3 linked regions of the Stegostoma tigrinum genome follow. The protein of the gene in region 2 interacts with the protein of the main gene of each other region in a biochemical or structural test. Links are inferred from orthologs where the notes say so. Each region holds a gene or a part of one and is shown on either strand. Other genes may lie near its edges. The genes, in order: rasgrp3, prkcba and rack1.

Evidence for each region.
Region 1: of the proteins of prkcba (region 2) and rasgrp3, one has a biochemical effect on the other in vitro, tested with the Homo sapiens proteins (2 studies listed by BioGRID). The link is inferred for Stegostoma tigrinum from reciprocal best matches to the Homo sapiens genes PRKCB and RASGRP3.
Region 3: the proteins of prkcba (region 2) and rack1 form a complex in vitro, tested with the Homo sapiens proteins (2 studies listed by BioGRID). The link is inferred for Stegostoma tigrinum from reciprocal best matches to the Homo sapiens genes PRKCB and RACK1.

Annotation. Positions count from the first base shown.
Region 1 is NC_081362.1:81,544,376-81,554,767, reverse strand, and holds the start of rasgrp3 (ras guanyl-releasing protein 3), read right to left. Parts: upstream 4,521-10,392; 5' UTR 4,311-4,520; intron 1-4,310. UniProt on the Homo sapiens protein: Guanine nucleotide exchange factor (GEF) for Ras and Rap1.
Region 2 is NC_081376.1:21,295,693-21,305,974, reverse strand, and holds the start of prkcba (protein kinase C, beta a), read right to left. Parts: upstream 4,907-10,282; 5' UTR 4,621-4,906; coding exon 4,457-4,620; intron 4,357-4,456; coding exon 4,325-4,356; intron 1-4,324. UniProt on the Homo sapiens protein: Calcium-activated, phospholipid- and diacylglycerol (DAG)-dependent serine/threonine-protein kinase involved in various cellular processes such as regulation of the B-cell receptor (BCR) signalosome, oxidative stress-induced apoptosis, androgen receptor-dependent transcription regulation, insulin signaling and endothelial cells proliferation.
Region 3 is NC_081366.1:36,418,715-36,429,256, reverse strand, and holds the start of rack1 (small ribosomal subunit protein RACK1), read right to left. Parts: upstream 3,872-10,542; 5' UTR 3,758-3,871; coding exon 3,649-3,757; intron 2,663-3,648; coding exon 2,491-2,662; intron 2,304-2,490; coding exon 2,156-2,303; intron 550-2,155; coding exon 454-549; intron 1-453. UniProt on the Homo sapiens protein: Scaffolding protein involved in the recruitment, assembly and/or regulation of a variety of signaling molecules. Interacts with a wide variety of proteins and plays a role in many cellular processes.

The sequences.
Region 1 (10,392 bases), on a different chromosome or scaffold from region 2:
CTTGGACAGGAGCATCGTATTAGTGGTTTGCCAATCCACTGAAATGTTCCCAGCATCCAGCAGGTTCTCGAATACTCCGAACAACACTTTTGTTATCTTCGCAACCACTTAACTAAGTTTTAAAAATATTAAGGTGGCAGTATTGACTGAACAGAATATACGAGTGCTAGAAAGAGAGAATGTCCTCAAGATGTCAAGGACAGAAGCTATTTGGTTAAAGCTAGCAAACAATAGAGATACTGGTGTTTTGTGGATTCTATAGATCATCTAGCAGAAAAGATACACAGGAGCAAATTTACAAAGAAATTACAGCGAGGTACAAAACTACTGAATTGAGTTGTAACAGATTTTACTTACCCTATCACAGACTGGAAAAGTAGTAAGAATACATGATTAAGAAGCAGAATAGACCATTTTCATCTTGTTCCTGCTCCTCCAATCAATAAAATCATGACTGATTACGTTGTGGCTTCTAATCCACTTTCCTGCTCATTCCTTATGACCCACAAATTCCATGTGGATCAAACATCCAACTCAGTATTGGAAGCTGGGTCATTGAAAATACTCAAGGCTGTCTGGGGAAAAGAGTTCAACAGACTAACAACCCTCAGTGAGAATAAATTTATCCTCACCTCCGGGCTGAATGGGAGATCCATTATTTTCAAACGATTGGAAATTAATAGTGTAAAATGTTGAGAGGATGAAGAGCTTCTTGTGTATGTTCAGGCAAATTATTGGGATCAGAAATGCACTGATCAGAAGAGGAAGGAGGCATTGTAGGAGGCATCGTTGGATCTGATTCTGGAGAATGAGGTAAAGTAGATCAGTATCAATAGGGGAACAGTTAGGAGACAGTGATCATAATGTAATCATGAGTGCATCAGCTATGAAAAACAGCAAGAAGCAATCTAGATTCAAAATTATTAATGGGGAGAGGATTAATTTCAGTTGGTGAGAATCAATTTAGCCCATGGAATCAAAAGTTAGGAAGCAAAACTGGAACAATGGACTGTCTTCAAAGAGGCCTTAGTTCATGTACAGATCGTGAACTTTTCCACAGAGAAATACAGCAGAAACAAAGCCAGAGCTCTCTGGATGACAAGCGATAGAGAGTAAAATGAAATAATTAAACATCATGTAAGACAGGTGTCAAGTTGATAATATAAGTGAGAAGCAGGAAACAGCTGGACAGTCAAACCCGGTGTAGCTCTTCCCCACCGCCCCTCCTCAGAAACAACAAAGCATCACAGTAAAGATAGAACCGAACAGATTGATCACCACAGCTGAAGACCACTGGTTTGGATAGCATCACATTGGTTTAAATAAACAGTTCCGAGTACACATGTTTACTCTGAATGGACCTAACAGTACAATGCAATGCAAACAAATTATACAATCTATGTTTGATTGTCAAGCTGTGCCCAGGGATGTCAAATGGCATATATTCAACATTGGAGTTTCAAAAATCTGTGCTTCTGACCTTCAGACAGATATTTCTTTAAAAGAAAAAACAAAAAGAGCTGAACATCTGAGCGGCTTTGTGGGTTTCCGACTGGGCTTTCTTACAAAAGGAAATTGGAACAGACAGGGATCGGGGGATATCAGAGATTCTAGTTAATACGGCATTTCAACAGTGGGTAATATGAAGTTACCATAAGTAGGAAGATTAGCAATGGGCTAAGTAGGGTACGCAAAGAAGATTTTACACAGGGTGGTAGCGGGCATAATTGAACTAGGAAGTGAGAACTTTGCATTTTTCTGTACCAAGGAAGATGTTTCCAAAGTCATTGTGAAGAACGGGAGATGGCTGAGGCACTGTTGGATATTAATCAATGAAACACCGAGGGGCTGGATTGTGTTTAAAGTTGATAAATCACCAGGATCGGACCAGCCGCATTCCAGAATACTGAGGAAAGCAAGGGTGGAAATTGCAGAAATACTTGGCTATAATTTTCCAATTCTCCTCAGACACAGGAGCATTACAAGAGGAATGGGGAATTAGAAATGCTAAACACTTCTTTCAAAATAAAGAGTTCAAAGGTATACCTGGCACGCCAGTCAGTTTAACCTTGGTAGTGGTGGAAGCTTTCAGAAATAATAGTCTGGGGCAGAATTAACAGTGGCTGAAACAAATGTGGATTAACTAAGGAAATTGGTATGGCTTTGTTAAAGATTTATTTAATTTGATTGAAGTTTTTCGCATGAGAAGGTAGATGAGTTACTGAGGTGATGGACTTTCAAAAGCATCTCAGAGTGAATTTTGGAGGCTATCGGCAAAGTAAAGCACATGGAACAAAAGGATTAGCAGTGGCCTGGAAATGAACATTGCAGAGTGGCAGCAAACAGAGTAACGGTCTTGATTTTCCAACCTGGAATGTACATAGTAAGGCTTCCCAGCAGTCAGTGTTAATACCACTGTTTCTTTTGATCTGCATTAATGACCTTGACGTGGGTATGCAGTTCATGATTCCAAAGCTTGCAGATGACACAAAACCTGCAAGTATCGTGAACACTGAGGAAGATACTGGAATATTATCAAGAGGATGTCAACAGTCAGTTCAATGGACAGATGCCTAGCAGCTGAAATTTAATTTGTGGAAATGCAAAGTGATGGATTTTGGTAAGAAGAGCAAGGATAGGCAACATAAAATATAGCATACACTTTTAAATGGGTGTACAAGCAAAAGCACCTGGAGTTATTGGTGAACAAATCAACTGAAGGTGACAGGGCAGATTGAGAAAGGCACAAGGGATGCTGAGTTTTATAATAACAGGAATGGAGCAGAGAAGGAAGGAGGTGAGAATCATAGAGCCACAAAGATGTACAGCACAGAAACAGACCCCTCGATCCACTTGTCCACCCCACCACATATCCTGAATTAATCTTGTCCCATTTGCCAGCAGTTGACACATATCCCTCTAAACTCTTCCCATTCATGTAATCATCCAAATGCCTTTTAAATGTTGTTATTGAACCAGCCTCCTCCACTTCCTCTGACAGCTTGATCCATGCACGCACAACCCTCTGCATGAAAAAGTTGCCCCTCAGGTTCCTTTTAAATCTTTCACTCCTCACTTTCAACCCATGCCTTCTAGTTTTGAACTCCCCTACTCACTATTCACCCTATCCATGCACCTCATGATTTTATAAACCTCTATAAACTTATAAACCCCCTCAGCCTCCGACACGCCAGAGAAAATAGCTCCAGCTAATTCAGCATCTCCCAATAGCTCAAACCCTCCAATTCTGGCAACATCTTTGTAAATCTTTTCTGAACCCTTTAACCTTTAACATCATCTTCCCAGTGAACCTGCATAAAATCACTGGTCGCATCTTAACTGGCAAAAGTCTTAATAGACAGGGACACCAATTTAAAGGTGAACAGTGAAAGAACTAAAGGTGGCAGGAGGAAATCTTTTGTTTCATAAAAACAGCTACCATAGTGGGAATTTCAGAGAGAACCGGATAATTATCTGCATGGAAAAGCATTGCAGGGCACTGGAAAATGGCAAGGGAGTGGAACTCGTTAAGTTGCTCTTGCATGTTGCTGGCATGGACAGGACAGGCTGAATGGCCTGTGCCATCACCACACCGAAATTCCACGTTAATGAACTGTTGTTAAAATTAGAAAGAAGGCGAAATACTACTCACCTGCTTGGTGTGGCGGAGTAAGGGATTGTAATGCTGGATCATCAGAATGAAAAGGTCATACCTTGTTGATTCTCTTTTTACAACGTTTGCTGGGGATATCAGCTGGAGAAAGGAGCTATGACAGTAGTGCACTTTACCTTATCCATTCTTCAATACCGACACTGGCCAGGGTCCAGGCTAACATTAGGAACTTTCCTGACCTTCCTGTCAGAAGAAGGTCTGATAAACAGAGCTGTCACTCAAAGCCTGTATGCAGGCCACCGATTTCTGCAGATACTAAGCACTTGTATGGGTTGGAAATTCAAAAGTAACTCCCTAGGCTTTGACTGGGTTGTCACATGAGCTACACAAATGGCAGGGCAAGTGGTCTCGAAGCTGATGACACAACTGGAAGCCAGCTCTTGTCCTCTTTAGCAGCATAGACACGATTAAGATAACAGCAACTGCAGTCCCATACTGGCAGGCCCACATGCACACAGTTTCAGTTCTAACTTGTGCTACACATCACGGGCAGGCTTTGAAAAAGAAGCTTGTTACTGTAAGACTGACCTGAGAATATTCGACAGCCTGGAACTCCTGGAGAGATTTGCCAATTTTGCTTCATCGCTCTTGCACATCCATGAGAAAGTCTGCCAGTTCAGATTGTAAATGCACTTACCAGATGTAAGAGGCTGTTTGATCCCCCACTCCACTGTCCGAAGCTGCAACATGTTTCCTAACTCCCTCAGTTTTACTGATGCATTGAAGCCCATAGACTTTAAACTCTTTCTGCTCGTTGCTAAGCTGCAGCATCATGTGATGTCACGATCTAGGCATGTCAATTATGTAAGCTAAAGTCAGTGTTAGAAGAGTCAATTTATGCTCGAAATAGTTTGACAAAGAGAGGCACAAACATGCTGACATCCCATGAGTGAAACAGATAAGGACAGCCACAGTATAGGGGGAGGTAAATGACGTTGTCTCCTACACACTGACAACTAACATTCTATATTCAGCAGTGCTGCACTTTCATTACCCAAAGCACAAAGAGCTTCTCAACAACTTGTAAATGATTAATCTCTCTCGCATTCGCAGTTACAGTCAGACACCAAAGTTATTTAGATACTCACACAGAAAAATATCAACTGTGCCTGGGGTCAGGACAACTGCTTTACTTCTCACACTAGTAAACATCCAGCTGGTGGATACCACAATTTCTTTACTTCTGAAGCTCTTGGAAAGTCTCTCATTAAGTATAAAAGACAACTGGTTCCTTTCGCAGGAGGTGTATTACTCAGAAGCCAATTAAAGAGCTTGTGTTGGAACAGGGGAACTTGAAATGCTAATTATATTCAGTCTAGCCCCACACTCTTAAAGCATGTGAAGCAATGTGCTACAAATAGTGAATCTGTTTTACAGAAATTCAAATCTTGTTTGTACAGGTCACAAAGCTAGATATCTGTTTTACACACACACACATCTGTCATAAACTGATGATTGAAATCATTGCTCAGTCATTCAAACACCTCTTATTCCTGCCACAGGCACGAAAATGAAGCCAACATTTTGCACTAGTCTGCTGTTATTTTCTTGTGAGATTTATTCGACAGTTTGCTGTCTGTATGGGGAGTTCTCATGCAAAAGGCAGTTTTATAAAAGTTTTCCCTCCACATAGCCAGCACCCAACTAACAAGACCCCTTTGATAGCTATTTCTACTGTGGTTCAGTGGTTAGCACTGCTGCTTCACTATCCCAGGGAACTAGGTTCAATCCCAGCCCTGGGTGATTGCTTATGTGTTCTCTCTGTACTTATGTGCGTTTATTCCCCAAACCAAAGATGTGCAGGTTAGGTGAATTGGCCATTGTAAGGTGCCCATGATCTGTGAGTTAGTCATGGGCTGGTGGGGTGGGGGCTGTTTGGTCTGGAGGGGATGTATCCTCTTTGGTGGAGTGGTATGGGCCAAATGGCTTGCTTTTGCTCTGCAGATCCTCTATAATTTAGGGCAACTCTCACATAAAAGAAAGAGGATCTACATGTTCAGGACCAGCCACTTAGAGAGATGGAGTCATTCCTGAAAAACATCTTTTCCAACTTCACAGAAATGTTGAACTCACAAGCACTTTTCAATCGCCAAGCTATCAAATATGTATTGGCTTTTCCTCAGTTTGCCTCAACCTTTTAAGGCAATCAGAGAAAGATTTTAACAGGATCCTGCAGGGCAAACGTTTCACACAGAGGGTGGTTCATATGTGGAATGAACTGCCTGAGGAAGTGGTAGGTAAAGTACAGTTACAATATTTAAAAGACATGTCCATGAACAGGAAAGATTTAGAGGGATATGGACCAATCTCAAGCAAATGGGATTAGTTTAGTTTGGGGAACCTGCTTGGCATGGACAACTGACCGAAGGGACTGTCTCTGTGCTGTGTGCCTCTATGTCTCCTCTCTTCCCCATCACAACATTATTTTTGCTCTTATGAGCCCTTGAAGTCATGAAGAATGTATGTACTATCATTCCTCAGAGTCATGATATTTTAGCATTACCTTTTCCTTCTTCCCAGATGGAATCGATTCTTTTCTGGGATGTTACTAGCATTGCAAAGGACAGTGTTTTCTGCCCATCCCCAAGTATCCATCAAAGGAATGGATTGATAGGTCACTGTTATGGACCTGGAGTCATACATAGGTCCGGTAAGGATGGCAGATTACTTTCCCTAAAGTGGCGCCATGAAACTATCTTTACATTGCAGATTTATCAATTGAATTGAATTTTTATTAGTTGTTATGCTGGGATTCGAACCTTCAGGGCATTAATATTACGACAACCAGAAAGTGTTGAAGAAGCAGATCTGGCAGCATCTATGGACAGAGAAACACAGTTAACATCTAAAGAAGAGAGTCAGACTGGACTCAAAATGTTGACTTTGTTTCTTGCCCTCTCCACACATTTTCTTTCTCCAGCATTTGTTTTAATTTTTTTTAATTTCAGAAGTCCAGCATCTGCTGTTTGTGCTTTTATTCCTCAGAGCGTAAGTCTAGATCACTAGACCAATGGAATTTCCACTACACCACTGCCTTCTCCAACATTGTTCATGTATGAGCCTACTCTAGTCAATAAGTGCTATCAGCAACTTGATCCATCCTTGTGCACTCAACTGTAAACCAGTCATCTCCTTGACTGTGTGCCTTGAGGACCTCCTGTACGCTCATATGAATTCGGGACATCTCGTTCCCCTTGCCACCTCTACCACCAAGTCATCCAATGCAGTGACAGAAAAGCTCTGAGCCGCAGATTGCAAAATTCCTCACTGTTTCCCAGCATTGCTCTCTTTCTGTGTGACAACTGACTCTTTCTCTAGTTACAAAGTATCTCTGATGGATTAGTTACAGGCTAACCTTAATTACTGCCAAGAAATTACCTTTTCAGGCACCCTGATCATACATGGTCATCCCTTCACCTACCAAACTCAAAGAACACCAGCCAAGTTCATGGAATTATTTTCACAATTTAACTGTATCAAACTTGATGCAATTCTGGCAAATTTACTCTTTCCAAGACCAATGATTTGTGATTCTTAAACTGAACATAATCTGCCTGATGGGATCTGATCATGATTCTTTAAAACTGAAGCAAATGCCTCCTCACTGCAATACTCCAGTTCACCTTACAGGTGAAGACAAAGATTTTTAGCCTTTGTGAAAGCAAATGCCTACATCTCCACAATCCTCACACTTTCTAGTCACTTGTCATGAAGGAAATATTCTATTTTTTGTCTTTCTTGGATCCAGGTAGGTGGCATCACACTTTCCCAAACTGAACTGTGTTTGCCATAATCTGTTCACTCCCATAAATTTGCCTTTGTCACTTCTTGAATGGATGTAGAAAATGCTTGTCACCGTCTACCAATGGCTAGGATCGTGCAGTGAAGTAATTCACCTCCTGACTCCCCAAAACCCACTCACCATCTACAAAGTGTAAGTTAGGAGTGTGATGGAATACTCTCCACTTGCTTAGAGGAGTGTAGCTCCATCAATACAGATGAAGTTCAACACCAAGCAGCCCCCTTGACTGCAACCCCATCCACCCACTTCAGCATTCACTCCCTCCAGTATCGATGTACAGTGGCAGCAGAGTGGACCATTTACAAGGTGCACTGCAGCAACAAGTCAATGCTCCTTCAAGAGCACCTTCCAAACACACATTACCCTCTAGAGGGTCAAAAGCAGCAAATAAACAGGGTAACCACCACATGCAGATTCCCCTTTGAGCCATACAGTATCCTGACTTGCTATCCCTTCACTGTCACTGGCTAAAAATCTTGAAAGGTCCTTCCTGGCCGCACTGTGGGTCTACCTCAATCAAACAGATTGCAACAGATGAGAAAGGCAGCTCATCACCAATGTCTCCAGAGCAATTAGGGATGGACAATAAATGTTGGCCCAGCCTGCCCATATCCCACAGAAGAATGGATGAAACAATTAGACTTCAGCTTCATTTCACTTTTGCCAAATACTAACAAACAATTGGATAGTGATCAGGAATCCCAGTAACTTCTGCCTCCTAGAATGGTAAGTGCTCTGATTGTCACACTAGCTGAGATGATTTACCTCAGTATAGGCGCAGGAATCCTGCCTCAAGCTTGAGGCATCTTTGTCTGATCTCAATTGTGTCAGCACATTAGCTGATTTAAGCTATGCAAGAGGCAGCTATGCTCAAACGTTCTAAGAACTACCTACAACTAAAAACAAAGTTGCTGGAAAAGCTCTGGAAGGGTCACCGGACCTGAAACGTTAACTCTGTTTTCTCCTCCACAGATGCTGCCAGACCTGCTGAGCTTTTCCAGCAACTTTGTTTTTGTTCCTGATTTACAGCATCTGCAGTTCTTTTGGTTTTTATTCTAATAGTTACCAAATAGCTGCCTTTACTTGGTAGAGATGTCTTTCACTTCCCTCCGGAAGTGCTGTCTTCTGTGAAGAAAAGCTGCATGCCTTATCTAAAACAATGCACAACTGTGTTTTTCAAAGCGCTTTCAGCATTTCATTTAATCTTACCTACACACGGCAGAAAATCTGTTGGATCCAGGTCCTTGCAACAACTTAATAAGAACTTAATAAGATTTGGTTGCATAAAAAGGCACGAAACCAACAAAAGCCACTGTGTGTAAATCACAAGCTTGTAGTCGTCCACAATCATGAGTGAACATATGATTTGACCAACAGTGAGTTTCCAACTGATGTTCAGTTCCTGACAGCCACAAGGGAGAAGCTACTTCTGAAATTTTATGCATGCGGCTCATACTAAGAAAATATTCTTCTGGCATGAGATTACATGAGTTCTTGAATAATAATGGAAAATATCATCAACTGGGTGAAATGTAGGTATTTATTCACTCTAAATTAAATGTATGGAGTGGACTACAAGAAATTGACCAGAGATAGCAAGAACAGCAGATGCTGGAGTCAGAGATAACACAGTGTGGAGCTGGAGGAACATGGCAGGTCGCGCACATCAGAGGAGCAACGATGTTGACGTTTTGGGTTGGGATCCTTCTTCAGGAATGGGGGAGGGTGAAGGGAGCTGGGAAATAAATCGAGAGGAGGGATGGGGCTGGGGAAGGTAGGTGGGATGGAGAGTGCAGGTAGGCAGTAGTGGGGATTGGTCAGTCAAGTAGGAGGAGTGGATAGGTGAGAGAGAAGATGGGCAGGTTGTGTCAGGTCAAGGAGGTGGGGATGAGAGGGAGGGTTGGACATGGGATGAGGCCAGGGGTGGGGAAATTTTAAAACTGGTGCGTTCCAAGTTTAAACCATTGGGCTGTAGGCTCCCGAGGCAGAATATGAGGCGCTGCTCCTCCTGTTTGCAGATGGTGTCATCGTGACACAGTAGGAGGCCCAGGATGGACATGTCACCCAGTGAGTGGGGCAGGGAGTTAAAATGGTTGGCGACCAGAAGGTGTTGTGGTTTGTCATGTACAGAGAGCAGAGATTGTACATTTGACATAATCCTGCAGATATTATGTCTTTCTTGAGGACAGAATTGAAGAAGGTGCGACATGAAGATAGGTTGAATGTCAAAGATCTGTTCTCCTTGGCAAGAAGGTGGCAAGGTCATATTTTTTCATTCACTCACAGGATGAGGGCATCGTTGGCTAAGCAGCATTTATCGCCCATCCCTCATTGCCCAGAGGGCAGCTAAGAGTCAACTACATTTCTGCTGGTCTGGATGTAGGCCAGACTAGGTCAGGATGGCAGTTTCCTTCCCTAATCGTGAACCAGTTTGGTTTTTCCGACAATGGATTCATGGTAATCACTAAGATTCTTAATTCCAGATTTTTAAAAATTGAGTTCAAGTTCCACCATCTGCAGTGGCAGGATTCAAACCTGGGTGCCCAGAACATTCCCTAGGTCTCTGGATTAACAGTCTACCAATAATACCTTTAGTCACCTATCCTCTATCCTCTGATAGAGCTTTTTGAAATCATGAGGGGTGCTGGATATGGGACATTAGGAGAAACTGTTACTACTCAAAAGAGGGATTACAGACTAGAGGTCAGAGATTTAAAGTGGTTTGCAAAAAAAAACGTGAGATGATGAAAATCTTTTTTAACAGAGTGAGTCGTTAGGGTGTGGCATGTGCCATTTGGAAGTGAAATGGAAGATAATTCAACTGATGTAGTCAAGAGGCTACTAGATGATTATTTGGAATGAAACAATCTGCAACTATGTTGAGAAATAAGCAGGAGGTTGACAGTAGGTATTGATG
Region 2 (10,282 bases):
AATAAACTGACAATTCAATGTAATATTAAAGGATGTCTTTGGATGAGCTGGCAAAAGCGGAGTGTTAACAAGCTTCTGGTGCTAATATCTCCAATGCCTGTTAAAGATCTCACATCACTGCTTGATAAAGAACAGGAAGTTCTCCATGTGTCTGCAATTAACATCAAACAATGATTATTTATCTCATTGCTGTTTGTGCACGGTTGCTGTATGCAATTGGCTGTGTGTATACATTAACAGCAACTGCACATTAAAAATAACCTTTTATACATGAAGTGTTTGGAGGCTTTTCTGATTTGACAAGGAATTTCATTATCTGAGTAAAAACGATTTTCATTAATGACTAGCAAAACATTGGTTGAGAAGTTTAGAGCTAGGGAAAATTACCTAACACTTCAATTCAAATCTTTGGAGGAATGAAGTTAAGAAACCTTGCCTCACACAAGAAATTTAAAGTTCTCTTGGTAAAAGGGCTGTTGATGTTACGTCAATTATTAATTCTGAACCGAATGTAACAGATTCTTGTTAAGCACGCATATTAAGGGATATGGAACAAAACCGTCTGGGATTAGATCACAGGTCAACCATGATTTCAATGAATGAGAGGACAGGCTTAAAGGGCTCAATATCCTGCCCAAACATTCCTTAAATACAAGAATCAAAGCTTCATCAGAATTAGCAACCAGCCTAACTCATCTCCACTCTATTCTCAAAATGAATGTTTAGAATTAAAATTAATGCACAAGATTAAAGTTCTTTAGCTAAGTCTTAATTAACGTGTAGTTAATGGAAAACTATGTGCCAGTTAGCTTGACATGAATAGCCAGGCGAATCCATTGTTTGGCCACAGGGGCACAGCCCTTAGGAATCACAGCTTTGTGGAAGCACGAATTTATGAAAGAAATGGTTTGACAAATCTGCTGAAATTGTTTGTAGTTTTCATTAGCGGCACAAATAAGGTGAACCAGTGAATGCAGTGTGTTGTATTTTCAAATAAGCACTTGATAATGTGCCATGCAGCAAGTCATTGCAAAAAATTAGGTCTTGCAGACAAGCATTATATATTAGTGACATTCAACATTGGTTAAAAGACAGAAAATGATAGGAACAAACAAGTGTTGTGCAGCTCAGCAGGTTATAACTAGCTAAGCACTGCTGGATCAGTACTTAGGTCTCAGGATATTATCTACATCAATGACGCAGATAAGGGGATGAGTGTGATACATCAAGTTTGTTACGATACAAGGTAGGTGGGAAAATAAGCTGTGAGGAGGATGCAAAGAGCCTGCAAAGAAATATAGACAGGCTAAGTGAATGAGTAAAAGCATGGCAGTTGGAACATAATGTGGAGAAGTGTGAAATTATTCACTTTGAAAGGAAAAATGTAAGAAAGAAATTGAATTATTTAAATGAAAATGACAGCAAAGGTTTGGTACTCAGTGGGACCTGTGTATCATTGTACATTGATCATAATAACCTTTATTGCAAACAGGACTAAGACAGTCAGAAAATCTTACTGCAAACATGTATGGTCTTGCTGCGTCATAACTGGAGTACAGTATACTAATGTTCATCTCTTCAAAGGCTGTACTTATTATTTTTGGGGAGGAGGAGATTCAGGGAAATTCAGAAGGAATCCTTCCCTGAACTGGATCATTCCGAACAAGGAGGGGGAGGTTTGCTGTTCATAAACTCAGAATAATGGATTGGTCATGTAGGATCATGACAGGAGGGAGAGTTTTCTTTACCCAAAAGGTTAAGAATCTTTGCAATTTTCTACCCTAAAAAGTTGTGACCCTCGGTCATTAAGCATATTATGGACAGAATTTTTTGGAAACTAAAGGATGTGAAAACGGGGCAGATATGTGGAGCTCAAGCAGCAGATCAACTACGATTGCACTGAATAGTCCAGCAAGCCCAAGGAGCCTAACGGCCTATTCCTGTCCCAATGTGAATTCTCATTCTGAAGAATTATTCCTGAGCACACACAATGATAGAAATCTTCAAATGGCAGCACTTGACTCCAACCAACCTAATGTGAGTGAAAATAAAACTCCCAAGATTGTGTGGCCAGAGGAGAATACGAATCACTATTTGATCCATGCCATTTTAGAGTTCTAAAGGGATTAAAATGTCAATATTTTATAAACAAAACCACTGTGCGTCTGTTCACACTGTGTCTGTGAAGCATATACAAATGCACAGCACCATGACATCACTCACTCACAGTCAGAATCTGCTGAAACAGATGGAGAAATCTCCACTTGCAAATCTTTAAACAAGCTTGAACTTCAAAAAAAAATACACGCTGGTGTTATCTTTCTAAAGAAACAGTGGAATTCCCATTCTCCCTACCATCACCCATTTGAAGACGCTATTGAACATTAATGCCAATCTAAAGCAACCCAGCAACAATGTAGAATACTTCAATTTTAATGCAGTCAGCCAGGACTCAGGGAGGAGAACTCCTGCCTCGGAGTTAAACTTAAATTCCACCCCCCACACCTGAGGACAAAAAAATTAAGGCTGACACTCAAGAGCACTTGTGAAGGTGTGCCATGTTTAAGAGATCTTAAACTGATGTCCCATTAGCCCTTACAGGGGAACATACAGATCCTTTTGCACTATTCCGAAGAGCAGGGGACTGAGTTCTCAGAGTCCTGGTCAATATTTATCCCCCAATCATCACAGAAATAGACTATCTCACCATCATAACGTTTTTTGGGGAGTTTGCTGGGACAACTCCACAGTACCTGTACAACACATACGATGTCCTGACATTATGCAAGGCAACATAGAATTCAAAGTTTGGACAGCAGCATAGCAATCGGATAAAAGTCAAGTCAGATTTCCGAGTTGGCAAATATCAACTGATGACAGGTGCTGTCAATAAGGTGGGCACGGAGCTGGCTCGCTTCTTCCTTCTATTTCAACTGAAAATACCAAATCTGCGGAAAGCTTGAGGGCTGATTTAGAAACGCTTGGGTATGTTCTACTGAATTACACCACTGGGATTGTGATGTAGGGGTTCAGCTTCATCCTGAAGAGTCAAAACTACTCAAATAATCTTCCCTTCTATGCAGTACAGACCGCATCTGTGCAACCCACTGCACAGAGTGAATCTAGTCGTCAAAAAACATCTCTAAGTCGTCACAGAGCAGCAGGGAGCAGGTGTAATCTGTACACTCACCAACCATCACTTCAGTCAGATTGGAATGCCTCTCCTCGGGACTAGGAAACAGATAGTGTGAAATAGATTGAAAGGGTTACAGTTGCCAACTAACCCAAGCCACACGTGGGATGTGCGGGAACAACAGTACGGTTTCCTTAGGTGCTGTTTCTTATATGGTTATGTGTGAAACAACCTGTCAGCCTGCCATTCGCAGTACCACCATCTGCTGATAGCACTGCTCTTCAACATGTTAAAGCCGAAACCAACTTTTCTATTTTTGTTATATACACACACACACACACACACACACAGAGAAAGAGAGAGAGATTCAGTGCTTCCGCTTAAAGGCAGGAAAGGGTGGGGTTAGGTTAGGCTTTAAGACGCTAACCTCGCAAAAGAAAAGTTGCACATTGTTCCAAAAAGGAAAAACCATCTGATTCAGCAGCTGTCTTTTGAAAAAAAAGTGAAAAGACGATAAATAAAATTAAAATCCGAAGAAACAGGAAAAAAGGGGATACAATTTTAATTGAGGCGCGCTGATACGAAGCAAGTTCAGGACAAATTTAAAAAGGGAGCATCACAGAAAGAGAGAACGTCAAACATATGGATATTTTGTAACGCTGTCTTATTAGAAGTGAAACTAGGAGGATAACGTTCAAATGATATTGTTAAAAGTCATTGATAAACTGGTCGCCTTCTGACTTACACGAGGCTCAATCTGGTAGGTTCAGAAAATTGCATTGAAGGATGGCACCTGCATCCGGCTGTGTTAACGAAAATGCAATTAAAAAATACAACAGAGCACAACTCCAGTTCGTCTAATCACTGATTTGTAGAAACGGCTGTGCACTTGATATTAAACAACTAAGCGGCGTTGCGCCTCTGTCCACTTTCCAATTACCATCGCAGCAAAAACCTGTTAGATTAAGTGGGCACTAGCAGCTCAGTATAACAAGTTAGTAAATTATTCATATTTAACGGAGATGATTCTGACTGCACCCCGCTTAATCTTCACATAGAGCATTACAGGAGCGCCACAAGTAAACTATTATTGACACTGTGCTGCAGATACTGTCCTGAGCTCATGACTCTGTAAGACTCCAGGCTGACAGTTAAAGACACTGTTGCTACTGTACCCGGAAGGACACCCACCTTGACACTGGAATCCCTGCTTTCCGAATCCCCTGTTAAAACAAAGACAAACAATCACCATTAATGACATGTGAAGATGGGCATTGCAAGCAGTGCTCTAGTTTGCTTATGGACGAGGCTAATGTCTCTCACCAGATAAAGTCAGTGCAGTGGCTGCAGAACGTGGGTTGCTTGAAGAAGCGAGCGATGAATTTATGGTCCTTGACTTCGTGCACGTTTTTCTGCCTTAGGGCACCTTTGCGGGCGAAGCGAATGGTGTTCTCCTCGCCCTCCATCGCATACACATTGTCAGACATCCTTCAGTCCCCGCTCCAAGGCTGCACCAGCAAACAGTAGCCCGCAAAACAAAAAAAAAGCAGGGACTCGGCGCTGCTCTTACCTGTGTTGTTGTTGGTGTGAGCCAAACGGGCAGAGAGCTAACAGCACAGTGAGGAGCCCAGGCTACGTCTGCTTCACACCAGCACACGTCAGGATGCCCCGCCTCTTCCAAATTCAAGCCTCTCGCTGTCTATTTACATAAGCAGTGCTAGCGAGGCGCTCTCCCAAAGGCGCGCACACACACACACAGCTATAGTCTCTTCTGTCCGTCTCAGATCTATTATATAAACACTGAAAGCAGCAACCTGGTAGGAGTTGAACAACACCCACCCCACCTCCCCAAACACTGCCAAGCGCTCAACAAGTGGCTCCTGCAGGCAGTTTCTCATCTCCCAGTCACAGCCCCGAAGGAAATGGTACATCTTTAGGATCTTATTGGTGGCAGCAGGCGGTGAGGTTGAGCGCCAAGTCATCTGCTTGCGGCGCCCTTCCATTTTCCGATCTGTGAAGAAGTGACAGTTCGGGCACAGACTCTGGTTTTCTGGTGGTTGGCTGACTGTCAAAAGGGCCCAAGGAGAGTAGATAAAACCATGGAATTGCTTTAGTGAAACCAGCGGCGAGGCTGAGGGCACCGTAAACCCCGTCAGGGAGACATTTCATGTGTAGTGACCACCCGCCAAATTTGGCGTGTGACTCAAGGCTAGGAACCACCTTGCCATTTCTTATTTCCAACATCGATATAGAGCTGGGGAGATTCATTGTGAGAGCTCCTAGTAGCAAGGTTTATGACCCCCGTTGTGGAAGTATCAGATCCCCCCCCCCCCCCAACTTAACTATGTCCTGTTCCCTTCACACTGGAACTGCTTCCTTTAGTCGCTTTTCTAGCTCATTCCTTGAATCATGTGTGTATTTATTCATTCCCTTTATCTAAGTAACATAAGGCCCGGGGGTTTCCTCCGTGGGCGCATTCGGAAAGTGTGCTAAAAAAATCCCCCAAACGAATTATTATGAAGTTAGAGCGCAAAATCAGCGCAATATCCGCGCAGAGCTAAAGGGAGACTGGAGCTGGACGATAGAGGAGGGGTTTCAGGGAGGTGTCTGAGAGCACAGCCAGGGGAATTGCAGGCTCACAGCTCTCCTGCAGGTTTGGGAAATTCATTTCGCAAGTTCTGCTGAGAATCTACATTGTCTGAATCTTTTCCGCGATTCTTTACAAGTCACTGACTGTCAGAACAGATTTGTTTGGAAAACCAGGGTGACCCGCCGAATAAAGTGAAGGGGACCACATGTAACTGCCCCGGCCTTCCTGCCAGAGATGGTTGGAGTGCTCAGAGGCTTCTCCATTACCCAGAGACAGGCTCTCAACAAACCCCGGCAAACTACTATCCTCAATCCAAGTAAGGAGAGCGGCAGAATGTCTTCCAGAGCGCAGGAAGGGTGAGAGTGTAGGGGCAGGGAGGAACGTCAGTGAAGGGTGAGTGAGGTGAGGGAACAGTGGGAGTGTAGGGTGAGGGAGGAGTGAGGTGAGGGAGGAATGTGAGTGTGAGGTGAGGGAACAGTGGGAGTGTAGGGTGAGGGAGGAGTGAGGTGAGGGAGGAAGAGGGAGGAGTGTGAGGTGAGGGAGGAGTGTGAGGTGAGGGAACAGTGGGAGTGTAGGGTGAGGGAGGAGTGTGAGGTGAGGGAGGAGTGTGAGGGGAGGGAACAGTGGGAGTGTAGGGTGAGGGAGGAGTGTGAGGTGAGGGAACAGTGGGAGTGTAGAGTTAGGGAGGAATGTGAGTGTGAAGTGAGGGAGAAATGTGAGGTGAAGCCCCCAAATTATTTTTCTGCGCAATCTGGAAGAGAGGCAAAGTCAAAGGTCTTCACTTTGCTGCTTTCTAGGAGTGCAGCCTCACCTTCAGGCCACCCGTAACAAGGATGGCTTTCCTGTCAGTCATTTTGTCTTTTATCTTCTAGTCAGAGAGTTGCGGCAGGCATCAGGATGCTTCCTATTTCCATGCAGGATAGGCTGCTGGGTGTTGCTGACACCTACACACCAAGGAACCTAAATGCCTTTCTCTTCAAATAACTAAGTAAATAACTTCAGTGGAAGCTTTCATTGCCAAGTGTAACCTGGCATTCAGTCCAATCACTGGCAAAACCAACAATTCTCTAGAAACTCGGTCTGTTTCAGCTCTGAGTGCAAATTTGATGCACTGTCCAGCCGTACAGTAGTAACCTGCAGAATGTTGTCGGACACTGGCTGGACGCAGGTCTCCTGTGACAACTTGGAACAATCCACAGACCTGAAAGTTGAGATTGTATTGACATTCATGTTCACCATAGGTATGCTGCAATTTGTAGCGTGAGCCTTCAGGTCATTTTGGAGCATGTTGCACTGTAAGCCAGTGCTGGCTTCACACATTTATACAATCAGATTATTCAAAAGTCCATATATTCTCAAGACAAGTCACATAGAAACAGGATGAAGTCACTTTCTGTTGCACATAATTTTTAAGCCTTCTGTGCCTGAGTTTTCCTTTCTTTTTCAACACTAAACGCCATGATAAAAATGTGCACATTCTTGACCTCTTAAAAAAATAATTGGATGTAAAATTTCATTCTGCTCAGGTTAGAAATAATGGGATTTTCAATTCATACCTAGTCAGCTGACCTATATTTGTAGCAAACACAAATGCCTCTAATTTGCAAATTTGGGTATTTTCTTTGGAGATTTCCCCAAAAAGCACAACTGAAGGATAGTATTGCTGAACAAAAAGACATATTTTGTTGGAGCTTTTTATTTTGAATTCATGAAAAGAGTTCACAGAAGTACCAAAGATAAACACTGATTGATAGGTCAGAACTCTACTCTCACAGAGTAGAAATGTTCTTTTCTTTTTACTTTAGTGTTTCTTTTTTTGCAAATTGCCCTGAAGGATAATCATGTTTGAAATATTAGAGAGTGGATGGTTTTGAGAAAAGAGACTTGTTTGGACATTGTGTTATATAGATGCTTTTCAGCAATACTCATGCAATCCAACAGATCAGACACCATCTGAGGACAGAGAATCTGAGTTAATGTTACAGATCAAACTTCTCTCATCAGACTTCAGCTTGTGTAGAAAATAGCAAGTGTTAAACAAAGACTTGAAACCTGATTTGAAGAAATTGGGTGGTATGGTTAAGAGTAAAAATATTAGAAGGCACAAATAGACAGTTTAAAAATTAAAAAGGACTTTGGACAGCATTTTTAACATGCAAAGTAATCAGATCTGACTTTCTTGTCATGATTGCCTTTGGAATTCTGTGTCTATCCAGAGATTCCGGGGCATTTAGTATTGTGAGTTAAAAAAAATGAAAATGGTAATCATAAGAGATTGGAGCACTGTAGGTTACTCAGTTCATTGAGCCTACTACATAATTCAGTAAGATACTTTCTGATCTGAATGTGGTCTAACTCCGTTTTGCTGCCTGCCTCCACAACCTATGACTTTCTTCTCAATCGAGAATCTACCTAGCTTACCCTTAAATATATTCAATTACACAGCTTCTACTGATCTCTCTGAGAAAAATCATTCTAAGATTAACGATCCTCTGACAGAAATAACTTTTCACTCCAACTTGAAAGGGAGGTTGCTTGTTTTTAAACAGTAAACCCTAGATTTTGATTCTGCTGTGAGGGGAAGCATCCTATCAGCATCTACCCTGTGAAGCTCCACCAGAATCATTTTTAAATTCTTTCATAGGAAGTGGATTCTGCTGGAAGGGTAGCAATTGTTACACAGCCCTCATTGCTATTTAGTGGTTGGTGGTGAGCCCCTCTCCTGAAGGAATGCGTTTCCTTTTGTGCAGGTGCACCCACACTGCTGCTGGGAAGAGTGTTTGCGGATTTTGACTCAATAACTGTGAAGGAATGAGAATATAGTCCTGAGTCAGGTTGATGTGTGAGTCAATGGGGAGCTTGGGGATGTTGGTGTTCCCACGTGTCTGCTGCCCTTGCCCTTCAAGGTGGTACGGCTCATGGGTTTACAAGATGCTGCTAAATAAAAGTCTTTAGGAATTACTGCAACACCCATTACTGACACTGTGTATCAGTGGTGGGAGGACATGATTGTTGAAGTTGGTAGACAGATGATCAATTGGTGGCTTCTTCAATAGTATTGAACTTCTTGAATATTCTGTACTCATTCAGACAAGCGGTGAGTATTCTAACATATTTCTGACTTGACCTTTTGGATGGTGGGAATGCTTTAGCACTCAGGAGGTGAGTTACTGACCACAGAATTCTCAGCCTCTAACTTGCCTTTGTAGTCACATTATTTATAGCACTGATCCTGTTATGTTTCTGGTCCATCATAACCTTCAGGTTTCTGAATGTGAGGGTTCATCAGTGACAATGCAATTGAATTTTATTAATGACTTGGACGAGGGAATTGAAGGATGGATCAGCAAGTTTGCAGACGACACAAAGGTCGGAGGTGTCGTTGACAGTGTAGAGGGCTGTTGTAGGCTGCAGCGGGACATTGACAGGATGCAGAGATGGGCTGAGAGGTGGCAGATGGAGTTCAACCTGGATAAATGCGAGGTGATGCATTTTGGAAGGTCGAATTTGAAAGCTGAGTACAGGATTAAGGATAGGATTCTTGGCAGCGTGGAGGAACAGAGGGATCTTGGTGTGCAGATACATAGATCCCATAAAATGGCCACCCAAGTGGACAGGGTTGTTAAGAAAGCATATGGTGTTTTGGCTTTCATTAACAGGGGGATTGAGTTTAAGAGTCGTGAGATCTTGTTGCAGCTCTATAAAACTTTGGTTAGACCGCACTTGGAATACTGCGTCCAGTTCTGGGCGCCGTATTATAGGAAAGATGTGGATGCTTTGGAGAGGGTTCAGAGGAGGTTTACCAGGATGCTGCCTGGACTGGAGGGCTTATCTTATGAAGAGAGGTTGACTGAGCTCGGTCTCTTTTCATTGGAGAAAAGGAGGAGGAGAGGGGACCTAATTGAGGTATACAAGATAATGAGAGGCATAGATAGAGTTGATAGCCAGAGACTATTTTCCAGGGCAGAAATGGCTAGCACGAGGGGTCATAGTTTTAAGCTGGTTGGTGGAAAGTATAGAGGGGATGTCAGAGGCAGGTTCTTTACGCAGAGAGTTGTGAGAGCATGGAATGCGTTGCCAGCAGCAGTTGTGGAAGCAAGGTCATTGGGGTCATTTAAGAGACTGCTGGACATGTATATGGTCACAGAAACTTGAGGGTGCATACATGAGGATCAGTGGTCGGCACAACATTGTGGGCTGAAGGGCCTGTTCTGTGCTGTACTGTTCTATGTTCTATGAATGACAAGGGGAGATGGTTAGATTCTCTCGAGACAGTCATTGCCTCACACTCGTATGGCGTATGTGTTACATGCCTCTTACCCACTCGAGGCCAAATGTCTTACTGGCATTGCTGCATGTTAGCAAGGACTGCTTCAATATTTGAGGTGTTCAACTGACATTTAACATTGTGCGATCATTAATGAATACCCCCATTTCTGATTATGATGGAAGCAGAGTAAATGATGAAGCAATTGAAGATGGTTGCACCTCAGACAATACCCTGACTAATCCTTGCAGCAATGTCTTGGGACTTAGACAATTAGCCCCTCACAATCATA
Region 3 (10,542 bases), on a different chromosome or scaffold from region 2:
TGCATTCAATCTACCTGAAAAGGGAACAGGAATGAAAAAAACCAGTACTGAGTACTGATGCACTGAGCCACACATGAATCATGGTTACCCAGCATGACGTGAATGTTCTGCTAAGGAACCAATTATAAAATAAAACTACAGGTTGTGCCAAGAATCACAACATTGATAGAAATTAACAGACTAGCAGAAATTAATGGTGTGTCTGGTGAAAAGTAATGAAATTCCTGTTCGCTCAAGGCACAGAGACTGAGGAGGCACAAACAGCCCTGGTAATCTCTCCAACAAAAACAGTGAGCTTCAATAAATCAGAACATCTATTTTCAGCTCTTTGACAACCCAGCCTTAACACGAGTGCAGACCCAATCCATCAAAACAGAAAACAGAAGCAATTTCCAACAATGTTAACACCAGCATCTTTCCACCCCAACACTTATCTCGATTCATCACTCTTACCTTAACTAGTTTATCCCAGCCACAGGAGACTATGATGGGGTTGCTGCTATTTGGCGAGAAGCGAACACAAGATACCCACTCGCTGTGGCATTCATCCTGTAAGAGAGGGAAAGTTGAACAAAATTTCACATGGATTGTTAATGCTAGAAAAGATCTGTAATGTTCTTAATTGCCACCAACCCTGCAATTTCACAACTCAGTCCGTCAATTAAAGAAAGGACCTGAAGGCCACTTACCACTACTAAACCCCCACCTCCACATCTGCTCCGCCATTCAGTAAAAAGCTAACCTAAATCATAACTACATGTCCACTTTTCTGCCTGTTCTCCATAACTGATTTCAAGGTACAATAATCTGTAAGTTCATCATGAATATGAGAAAGTCACTACTCAGAGGATGCACAATTCCATTAATGAGCCAAGAAATTTGCTTTCATCTCAAACTTTAAGTCAGAAATATTCTCCCATTCTGCAACTGCCAATTTTTTCTAGGCTCCTCCACAAGGTAAAACAATTTCAATGTTACCTTCCAAGCCCCGAGGTACTTTTCAACAAGATTACTCATTCTTCTCAACTGAGGTCAAAGGCCTAACCTTTCCTCAAATCAACCGCTCATTCTGAACTGCCTCTAATGCAAGCATGTCCCGTTGTAATTAAAGCTCAAACTATAAATTGTACTCCAACACCCTGTGCAACTTCCCACAATTAGTTGCTGCTTCTACATTCTAACAGTTGAAATTCATACAAGTAGCTACGCAGATTTGTGTATCATATTCAATTTTCTGCTTTCCTATTCTTCCCGGCAAGTGGATAATCTTATTGTCTCCCACACTTATGCCAAAATATCAACCATTCATTCATACTAATTAAATGGCTTTGCAAACTGTATCCTCACAACCAGCTTCCTTACCTATAGAGTCAGCAAGTTTGGCTATAATAAACAAACACATCCTAGTGCCCAACCAGTAAAAGGGGCTGACCTTATCTCGCTTCTTAAAAGCAAAGTCTCATTCATATGATAAATTTCCAGACTGGTGGCCCTGCTATTTTTGCTGTTCAATTAAATATTAAGCAACTCAAGAAATACCAAACACTGTTGAACTCAATGTTCAGCCATTTATATTCACGCTCACATCTCCTTTCTATTATGTAGTAACCATACTCATGTTATTTCAAATGGTGTAACTAAGAAGTCTACAACTGAATTGAGCAAAGGATAAACACAGTTCATTCATTTATCACTGTAAATTAAGCATATAATTTAGAACTTAACTGTGTGCTATACTTGTCTAGCCATTGCATTTAAACTATCGATACGAACTTGCTACCATTTCAGAAAACCCTCCAGCCACATCTCGAACAAAATAATCACTACCAGTTCATGTGTTCAGTTTGGGTGGAAAGGTAAAACACAACATTCAGACCAGCTGCCAGGCAGTCAACTTCTTGAGAATTAACTTCTTTCTGTACGTAAGTAGGAATGCAATTAAATACATGGGAATTTCAAAGCAAAAGACGTACTGTAGATTCCTTAAGTTCACAATTATCATTTGAATAGAATTGACAATGAGATATTCAATGTTTCAGCTTCTGCTGCCTGAGAATTTTGCACATGAATGCCAAATACGTAATAACAAAGTGAGATATTTTTCCCCTACATAGTGTAATAGCCATGCTTGGAAAAGTAATTGTGTCTGAGTTACCTGGATGGTGTATTTGCAAACACCTAATGTGTTCCACAGTTTTACAGTTTTGTCACGGGAACCAGACACAATTTGGCGATTATCAGCTGAAAAGGCAACACTCAGTACGTCCTTGGTGTGACCTACAAATCGACGTGTAGTCGATCCCCTGGAAGAGGAATTGTATTAATCATCCCAACAAGTAGTGAAAGAAACGACTGCAAATAATCAAGCAAAAATGTCTATTAATTTCTTTGGAACAAGTACCATTAAAAACATTTAAAATGCACCCGCAACAAATTATTCCACTCTTATTAAAAATCTGATTGTAGGCAATAAATTATTTGCATTCTTACATTGTCAAATCCCAAAGTCGTAGAGTTCCATCCCAGGAACCAGAAAGGGCAAACTGACCATCAGAAGAAATGACTACATCACTAATAAAGTGAGAGTGGCCACTGAGGGAACGCTGTGGGACACCATAGCTGGTCTCATCCCTAGTTAGCTTCCACATGATAATTGTTTTATCTGTAAGCAGAAATAAGCTTTTAGAACACTGCATTTAGATTAAGGTCACAGTTTGCTATATGAAAAGTTACTTTCCAGTTAGGGTATGAACTGATGTAATACATTTAAGTTTTCTAAAAACCAAATAGCTCACTTTTGCTCAAAATTAGAAACAAAACTAGTAATATTCCTGCAAGATTCCTTGGGGCATTTTACTTTAAGTGTGATAAAGTAATGCAAGTTATTTTAGGTCTGGAAACGTGGCATTTCAGATTTCAATACTTTCAAAGATTAATTTGAAACATACTTTTCTTCTATAAATGTTATTTGCCCAAAGAATAGAATTGAAAAGAATACATTAACGGGGTGCTCTCTCCACACTCCACCAGTTTCTGTTTTAGACTTCCCACATCCACAGATGTTTTGCCTGTGCAATGTCCCTTTACATCAGAAATAAGACAACACTCAATTTGTTACTCATTCTGCAAGCATTGGCATATTTGTAAGTATAAATTAATGCACCGGCAGTAAACCACTTTAACTCGTTAAAGCCCACAGGTCGGTAATTAACCTCAAGTTATTGAACTCTTAAAAAAGTGATATCCCCTGGCTATCAAAAATCTTGAAAGGCGGAGCAGACTCGAAGGCCCGGACGGCCTACTCCTCTTCCTAGTTCGTATGTTCCGTGTTCTAACGTTTCAGTTTTAGCCTCCTGATGGACACACAACGTGGTTCTGCAGCATTCGAGCTTGTGTGTCAGCAGCAGTGACTCGTTGCAATCGACTGAGAGCCGGGCCTAATAAGCAACGGAGGGCCGTAAAACTATCTACGTGTAAACCGTGAAGAAGTCCGGCTACAGACAACTCGAAAAGTTAACATAACGGGACTAAAAGAGAAACAGGCATTCATGATAAAACATACGGCCGAGAAACGGCTGCTCGGTCCGCCTTTGGCGGCGGATAGAGCCCGCACCCCGGTCCTCTTCCCTCCCCCTCCACGAAGAGTACCTCGGGACGCGGACAGAATCATGTCAGGAAACTGCGGGGTTGTGGCAATTTGTGTCACCCAGCCACTGTGGCCTTTTAGGGTGCCACGAAGGGTCATCTGCTCCGTCATTTTGAGTGGAGATGGGGCGTCCTATAGACGGATGAAAACGGATTGCAGCAGAGGACTCAGCCTCAGAACAACGCGCGTCCACCGGGCCGCAGAGAAAAAGGAAGCGCTCCGTAACAGGCCCGGACATGACGTCAATGGCGAGGAGAGGGCTGGGTGATTTTGATGGTGGCGCCGTCTCCTTGGTGACGTTTAACTTGATGTTGCCGGTTGGAGCTGCAAACTGTTTCGAAATAACAATTGTATACTTATAGCAAAATCAAGAACCTGATTGAAAGCAGCTAGCTGCCTCAGTCTGTTCTCAAATTATTCTGTCACACGGGAACTTACACCCGGAGGGAATGGATCCAACGATTCCAGTTACCCTTTCGACTGCTGGAAGTGTCAAAAGGCACTGACCAGCCAGCAGCAATCACTTGGAACTGTTGACCAAACAAGCAGTTGGCTGGGGACTGGAGCATTAAAAGATAATTTTGATAGCCACAAAATAGCAGAATCTAGCTGAATAGAAATTGCACATGGTAATTATTGACATATGAAGAAAGACTGAATCAACTTGGTTCGTACTCACTGGAATTTAGACGAATGACGGGGATCTCCTGGAAACATATAAAATTCCGTGGGAAGAATGTTCCTGATGTAGAGGAAGTCCAGAACTAAGGGTCACAATCTAAGAATAAGTAGTAGGCCATTCAGGACTGAGATGAGGAGGAATTTCTTCACTCAGAGAGTAGTGAATTTGTGGAATTCTCTACCTCAGAGAGTTGTGGGGCCACTTCATCAGATATATTCAAGTTGGAGCTGGACGTGGCCCTTATAACTTAAAGGGATCAATGGGTGTGGAGAGAAAGTGGAAACGGGATAATGAAATTGCATGATCAGCCATGATCATTTTGAATGGTGGTACAGGCTTGAAGGGCTGAATGACCTACTCCTGCACCTATTTTCTATGTTTCAATGTAATGTTTCATTTTGGTTGTACACTTGGCGATGTTCCTTGATAGTATGAAGCACCATAAATGCAAATGTAATTTTCTCCCTCCTGAAAAAAAGACAGGCTTGGAGACTGTGACTAACTCAAACACATTAAATGAAAAGCAGCAACGATCACATCAATTTTGTGCTGTGTACCACCTGAACTTTTTCACTCAATGCTAAGCAACCACTATTGATTATGTATGTCTGAAAAGGGTGCCATATCACGAGTGGATAGCTGCATTCAAAGCTAGTCTACACCACTTAAAGGGGAATATTTTGGCAATTATGTTAGTATGTTTACAGATGACACCAAAATGGGTGGTGTAGTGGACAGTGAAGAAGGTTATCTCAAAGGACAAGAAGGCCTTGATCACATGGGCCAAGAAATGGCTGATGAGGTTTAATTTGGATATGTTTTAGGTTTTGCATCTTGCTAAGGCAAACCAGGCCAAGACTTCTACAGCTGATGGCCGAACAGTGGTGAGTGCGCCGAACAAAGAGAACTAAGGGTGCAGGCGCATCCTTTTGGAAGTGGAGTCACAGGTAGACAGGATGGTGAAGAAGGTATTTGGCAAGCTTGCCTCCATTGGTCAATGCATCGAGTATAGAAGTTGGGACATCATATTGCATATAAAGTCATATAAAGTGAGGCTACTTTTAGAATACTGTGTTCAGTTGTGGCCTCCCTCCTGTAGGAAAGATATTAAACTTGAAAAGAGATAGTAGGAATTGCTGATGCTGGAGTCTGAGATGACAAGGTGTAGAGCTGGATGAACACAGCAGGCCAGACAGCATCAGAGGAGCAGGAAAGCTGACGTTTTGGGTCAGGAACCTTCTTCAGGAATGGGGGAGGGGAAGGGGGCTCTGAAAAAAATAGAGGGGGATGCGATGATAGAAGTTTGACAGAGGAGCAGATAGGTAGAGAGAAGACGGACAGGTCAAGGAGATGGGGATTAGGCCAGTAAAGGTGGGTGTAGGTGGGGATTTGGGATGGGGGTTGGTCAGTGAGGAGGGAGGGACGAGTACGTGGGAGGGAAGATGGACAGGTTAAGATGGTGGGGTGAGGCTATAGGTGCAATGTCCCCTCCACAGTGGTCAAGAACGCCCTTGACCACATCTCTCACGTTTCCCGCACCTCAGCCCTCACACCCCTTCCCCGCAATAACAACAAAGACAGAAATCTCCTTGTCCCCACATATCACCCCATCAACCTCTGGATTCAACACTTCATTCTCTACCACTTCCGCCACCTGCAATCTGACCCCACTACCAAGGACATATTTCCCTCCTCACCCTTATCTGCCTTCCAGAGGAACCGCTGTCTCCACGACTCCCTCATCCCCTCCACACTCCCCACTCACCCCAACACCCCTGGCACTTTTCCCTGCAACCGCAGGAAGTGCTATATCTCCCCCCTCACCTCCATCCCAGGCCGCAAGAAAACCTTCCACATTAAACAGATGCTCACCTGTACATTCACTAATGTCGTATACTATATCCACTGTTCCCGATCTGGCCTCCTCCACATCGGGGAAACCAAGCGGAGGTTTGGAGACCGCTTTGTGGAGCACCTACACTCAGTTCATGATAAGCGACAACACCCCAGTCGTGAACCACTTCAACTCCCCGTCCCACTCCTTGGATGACATGTCCATCCTGGGTCTTCTCCAGTGCCACAACAATGCCACCCGAAGGCTGGAGGAACAGCACCTCATATTGTGCTTGGGAACCCTGCAGCCCAATGGCCTCAATGTGGACTTTACAAGCTTCAAAACTGCCCCGCCCCGACCTCATCCCAAGACTAGCCCATCTCATCCCCGCCTCCTTGACCTCTCCATCTTTTCTTCCACCTATCCACTCCTCTCATCTCACTGACCAACCCCCACCCCCACTTCCTACCTACTAGCCTCATCCCCGCCTCCTTGACCTGTCCATCTTCCCTATCACCCACCCCCACCGACTAACCCCCATCCCAACTCCCTACCTACACTCACCTTTACTGGCTTCATCCCTGCCTCCTTGACCTGTCTGTTTTCTCTCCACCTATCTGCTCCTCTATCCACCTTCTATCATTGCCTCCCCGTCTCTCTATTTATTTCAGAGCCCCCTTCCCCGAAGAAAGGTCCAGACCCGAAACATCAGCTTTCCCACTCCTCTGATGCTGCCTGGCCTACTGTGTTCATCCAGCTCTACACCTCGTTATCTTAAACTTGAAAAGTTTCAGAACAGATTTATGAGAATGTTGCCAAGATTGGAATGTTTGAGTTATAGAGTGAGGCTGGAGCATCAGAGGCAGGGGTGACCTTATTGAGGTTTATAAAATCATGAGGGGCACGGATGGGGTGAATAGCCAAGGTCTTTTTGCTAGGGTAGTAGAGTTCATAACTAGAGGGCATGGATTCAAGGTGAGGGGGGCAAGATTTAAAAGGGATCTGAGGTGCAATTTCTTTCGTGCAGAGGTTAGTGCACTTATGGAACAACCTGCCAGTGGAAGTGGTGGAGGCAGATACAATTACAACAGTTAAAATGAATCTGGATGGCTGCATGAAATGGAAGCATTTAGAGGGATATAGGCCAAATACCTATATAATGGGATCAAATCAGTTTAGAATATCTAGTGAGAGCAGAGAAGTTGGACTGAAGGGTCTGTTTCCGTCTGTTTAACTCTATGACACTAAGTGAATATAATAACTGAAGAATGGCGCAACATACAAGAAATGGGCCTCCAAGGTTTTAGCTGATGCTCTGGAGGCCTTAGTGAATGAGGTAAACAGTAAGAAACATGATCTGTACCTGGAGGAAACCAAGAAATCATCTGCCACAAAAGATTATGGAAGCAGGTAGCTATGGCAGTCAATGCCAGTAATTAAGACCTAAAAGACCAGGAGGTAGGGCCATAAAAAAGTCAATGATTTTGTATGAGTCGTAAGATCAGTGAGTGTATTTTCAAATGCCACATCATACCAACAGGGTAACATGCAAGCAAAATGCCCCTGAGCAACAGGGTATGATGTGGGGCATTCAGCTTGTGTCATTGGGAGGGCTGAATGTTGTCTCACTGACACTTGAACCATTTGATTCACCTCATTTCCAAGTTAAACTAATTTGGCAATGTGAGGGAATCAAGAAAGAATAATTAAGGAAAATGTCAGACCTGCAAAACACTTTGAAAAAGCCTGGCACTAGCATTGTGAGTCACAAATAGGTGAATTTCAAGAAGTCGAGGAGAAAGGTAAGTCCAAAACAGAATAAATATGTATACATATAAGTGCATGAAGCATAATAAATAAGGTTGGGAAGTTACAGGTGAAGATTGCAACGTAGAATTATGATGTGGCAGTGATAGAAACTTGGTGGAAGGAAGCGTGAGGCTCGGTGTTAATTATTCCTGAATATAAGTTGTTCAGGAGAGGTGGAAAATAGGTAAAGGAGGAGTAATAGTAGTATCAGTTAAGGAGGTATTTCAGTCCTCGAGAAGGAAGATGTCTCAGAGGATTCAAGGACGGGCTCAATTTGGCTAGAGTTACAGAATAAAAATAGTACAATAACATTGTGCAGTGTAGTCTGCAGACCACCAAAAGTGGAAAGGATGTTGAGGAACAAATCTACAGAAAGATGCCAACATTATAGAGGAACTTCAGTCACCCACATATAGGCTGAATACTGGTAGTGTAAGGCACAACAAGGGTCAAATGTTCCAAGATTGTGTTTGGGAAAGGTTCCTGCAGCAATATTTTACAGGCCAATAAGGAAGGGTACATGTTGGACCTGGTCCTTGGATATGTGGATCAAGTGTCAGTGAGACAACATTTAGGAGACAATGATCATTGTGTGATAGGGGTCAGGATGGTGTTGGAGAATGACTTGGAACAACCCAAAATAAGAAAAATCAATCAGTGGAATGCTGACTTTAATGCGACAAGAACACAACTGAGCAGAATTGATTGGAATAAGAGGTTAGTGTGTAAAAACAACAACTGAACAATTGGCTACCTTCAAAGAGCAGATGTTTCAGATACAGTTGAGTTACATTTCCTCTCACAGAAAATGTAGGGCTAACAAATCCAGGGTCCTCCGGCTGGCAAAGGAGGTAGGAATTAATGTGAGAATGAAAAAGTTTGCCAATAACAGGTATGAGGCAGAAAATACTATTGAGAACAAACAGGAACATAGAAGGTTCAGGTTGGAGGTGAATGAGCAAACAGGAGAAACAAAGGGGACCTATGAAAAAAGATCAGTAGCCTGTATGAAATCTCAACGTCTTTGATAGGCATATAAACAGTAAGAGAATGGTTAAAGAAGGAGTAGGACCGATCAGGGACCATAAAGTGGATTTACACATCAAGGTATAAGGCATGGTTGAGGTGTTAAACAAATATTTTACATCTGTGTTTACAAGAGGAGGATGATGCCCAGGATATGGTGACAAGAATGGCAAGTCTCTCAGAACAGTTTAAAATTTATAAAGTCCTGGATAGATTGTTGGCTCTTAAGTTGATAAAACACCAGGTTCAGATAAGATGCATCCAAACATTTTGAAGGCCATGAGAGTAGAAACTGAAGGAATACTGGCCATATTTTTTTCCCTGGAACATGCCAGAAGACTGAAGAATTGCAAATACAATGGCTTTGTCCAAGAGAGGTTGTAAGGACAATCCCAGCAATTACAGACCAGTTATTTTAACTTTGGTGGTGTGGAAACATTTGGAAACAATTATTCTGTACAGAATTAATAGTCATTTAGGAAAAGGTGGGTGGATTAGAAGAGTTAAAATGGATTACTAAACGTGAAATTTTGTCAAACTAAAATGTTGCAATTTTATTGAAGAGGTTAGACAGAATGTTAGTGAGGGTAATAGTGTTGATATATACGTTGTGTTCCAGAACATGTTTGATAATGTCACACAACAGGCCTGTGAGGAAAGTTATGGAATCATGATATAAAAAGGACAGTGGCAACATGGATACAAAATTGACGAGGAAACAGAGTAATAGTCAATGGATATATTTATGGCCTGGAGACAGGTTTGTCGTAGAGTTCCCCAGGGTTGGTTTGGGACCCTTACTTTTTCTGATATATATCAATAATCTTGATCTTGCTTTGCAGGGACATTTTCAAGTTTGCAGATGACACTAAATTGGAAGAATTGTAAACTGTGAGAGGATAATATAGAACTTCAAAAAGATGTCAACACAGTGGCTTAGTGGTTAGCACTGCTGCCTCACAGTGCCAGGGACCGGGTTTGATTCTAGCCTTGGGCAATTGTCTGTGTGGAGTTTACTCTGGCTGCTCTGGTTTCCTCACACAGTCCAAATATGTACAGATTAGATGGATTGGCCATGCAACGTTACCCGTAGTGCCCAGGGATGTGCAGCTAGGTGGATTAACCATGGGAAATACAGGGTTAAGGGATAGGGTGGAGGTGGGTCTGGGTGGAATGCTCTTTGGAGCATCGGTGTTGACTTAGGTAATCCTTGGTACCAATTACTAATTGCTGTTTAGCCTTTGCTAAATAATTATGATACTTTTTGTCTCATTATTTGAAAAAAAATCATTCTCAGCATTAGTAGCAGTCCTGTCAATACACTATATGAGAAAGTTAAATGCATTTGCAGCATGAATTTCTGGAATACAAAGTCAAGTAATGACCAAAAAAATCATTGTCGATTCTCGGAAAAACCCAGAGGTTCACTAATTATTTTTGGGAAAGGAAATCTGCCATCCTTACCTGGTCTGGCATACATGTTACTTCAGATCCACAGCAAATGTGGTTGACTCTTAACAGTCCATTGGGCAATTTAGATGGACA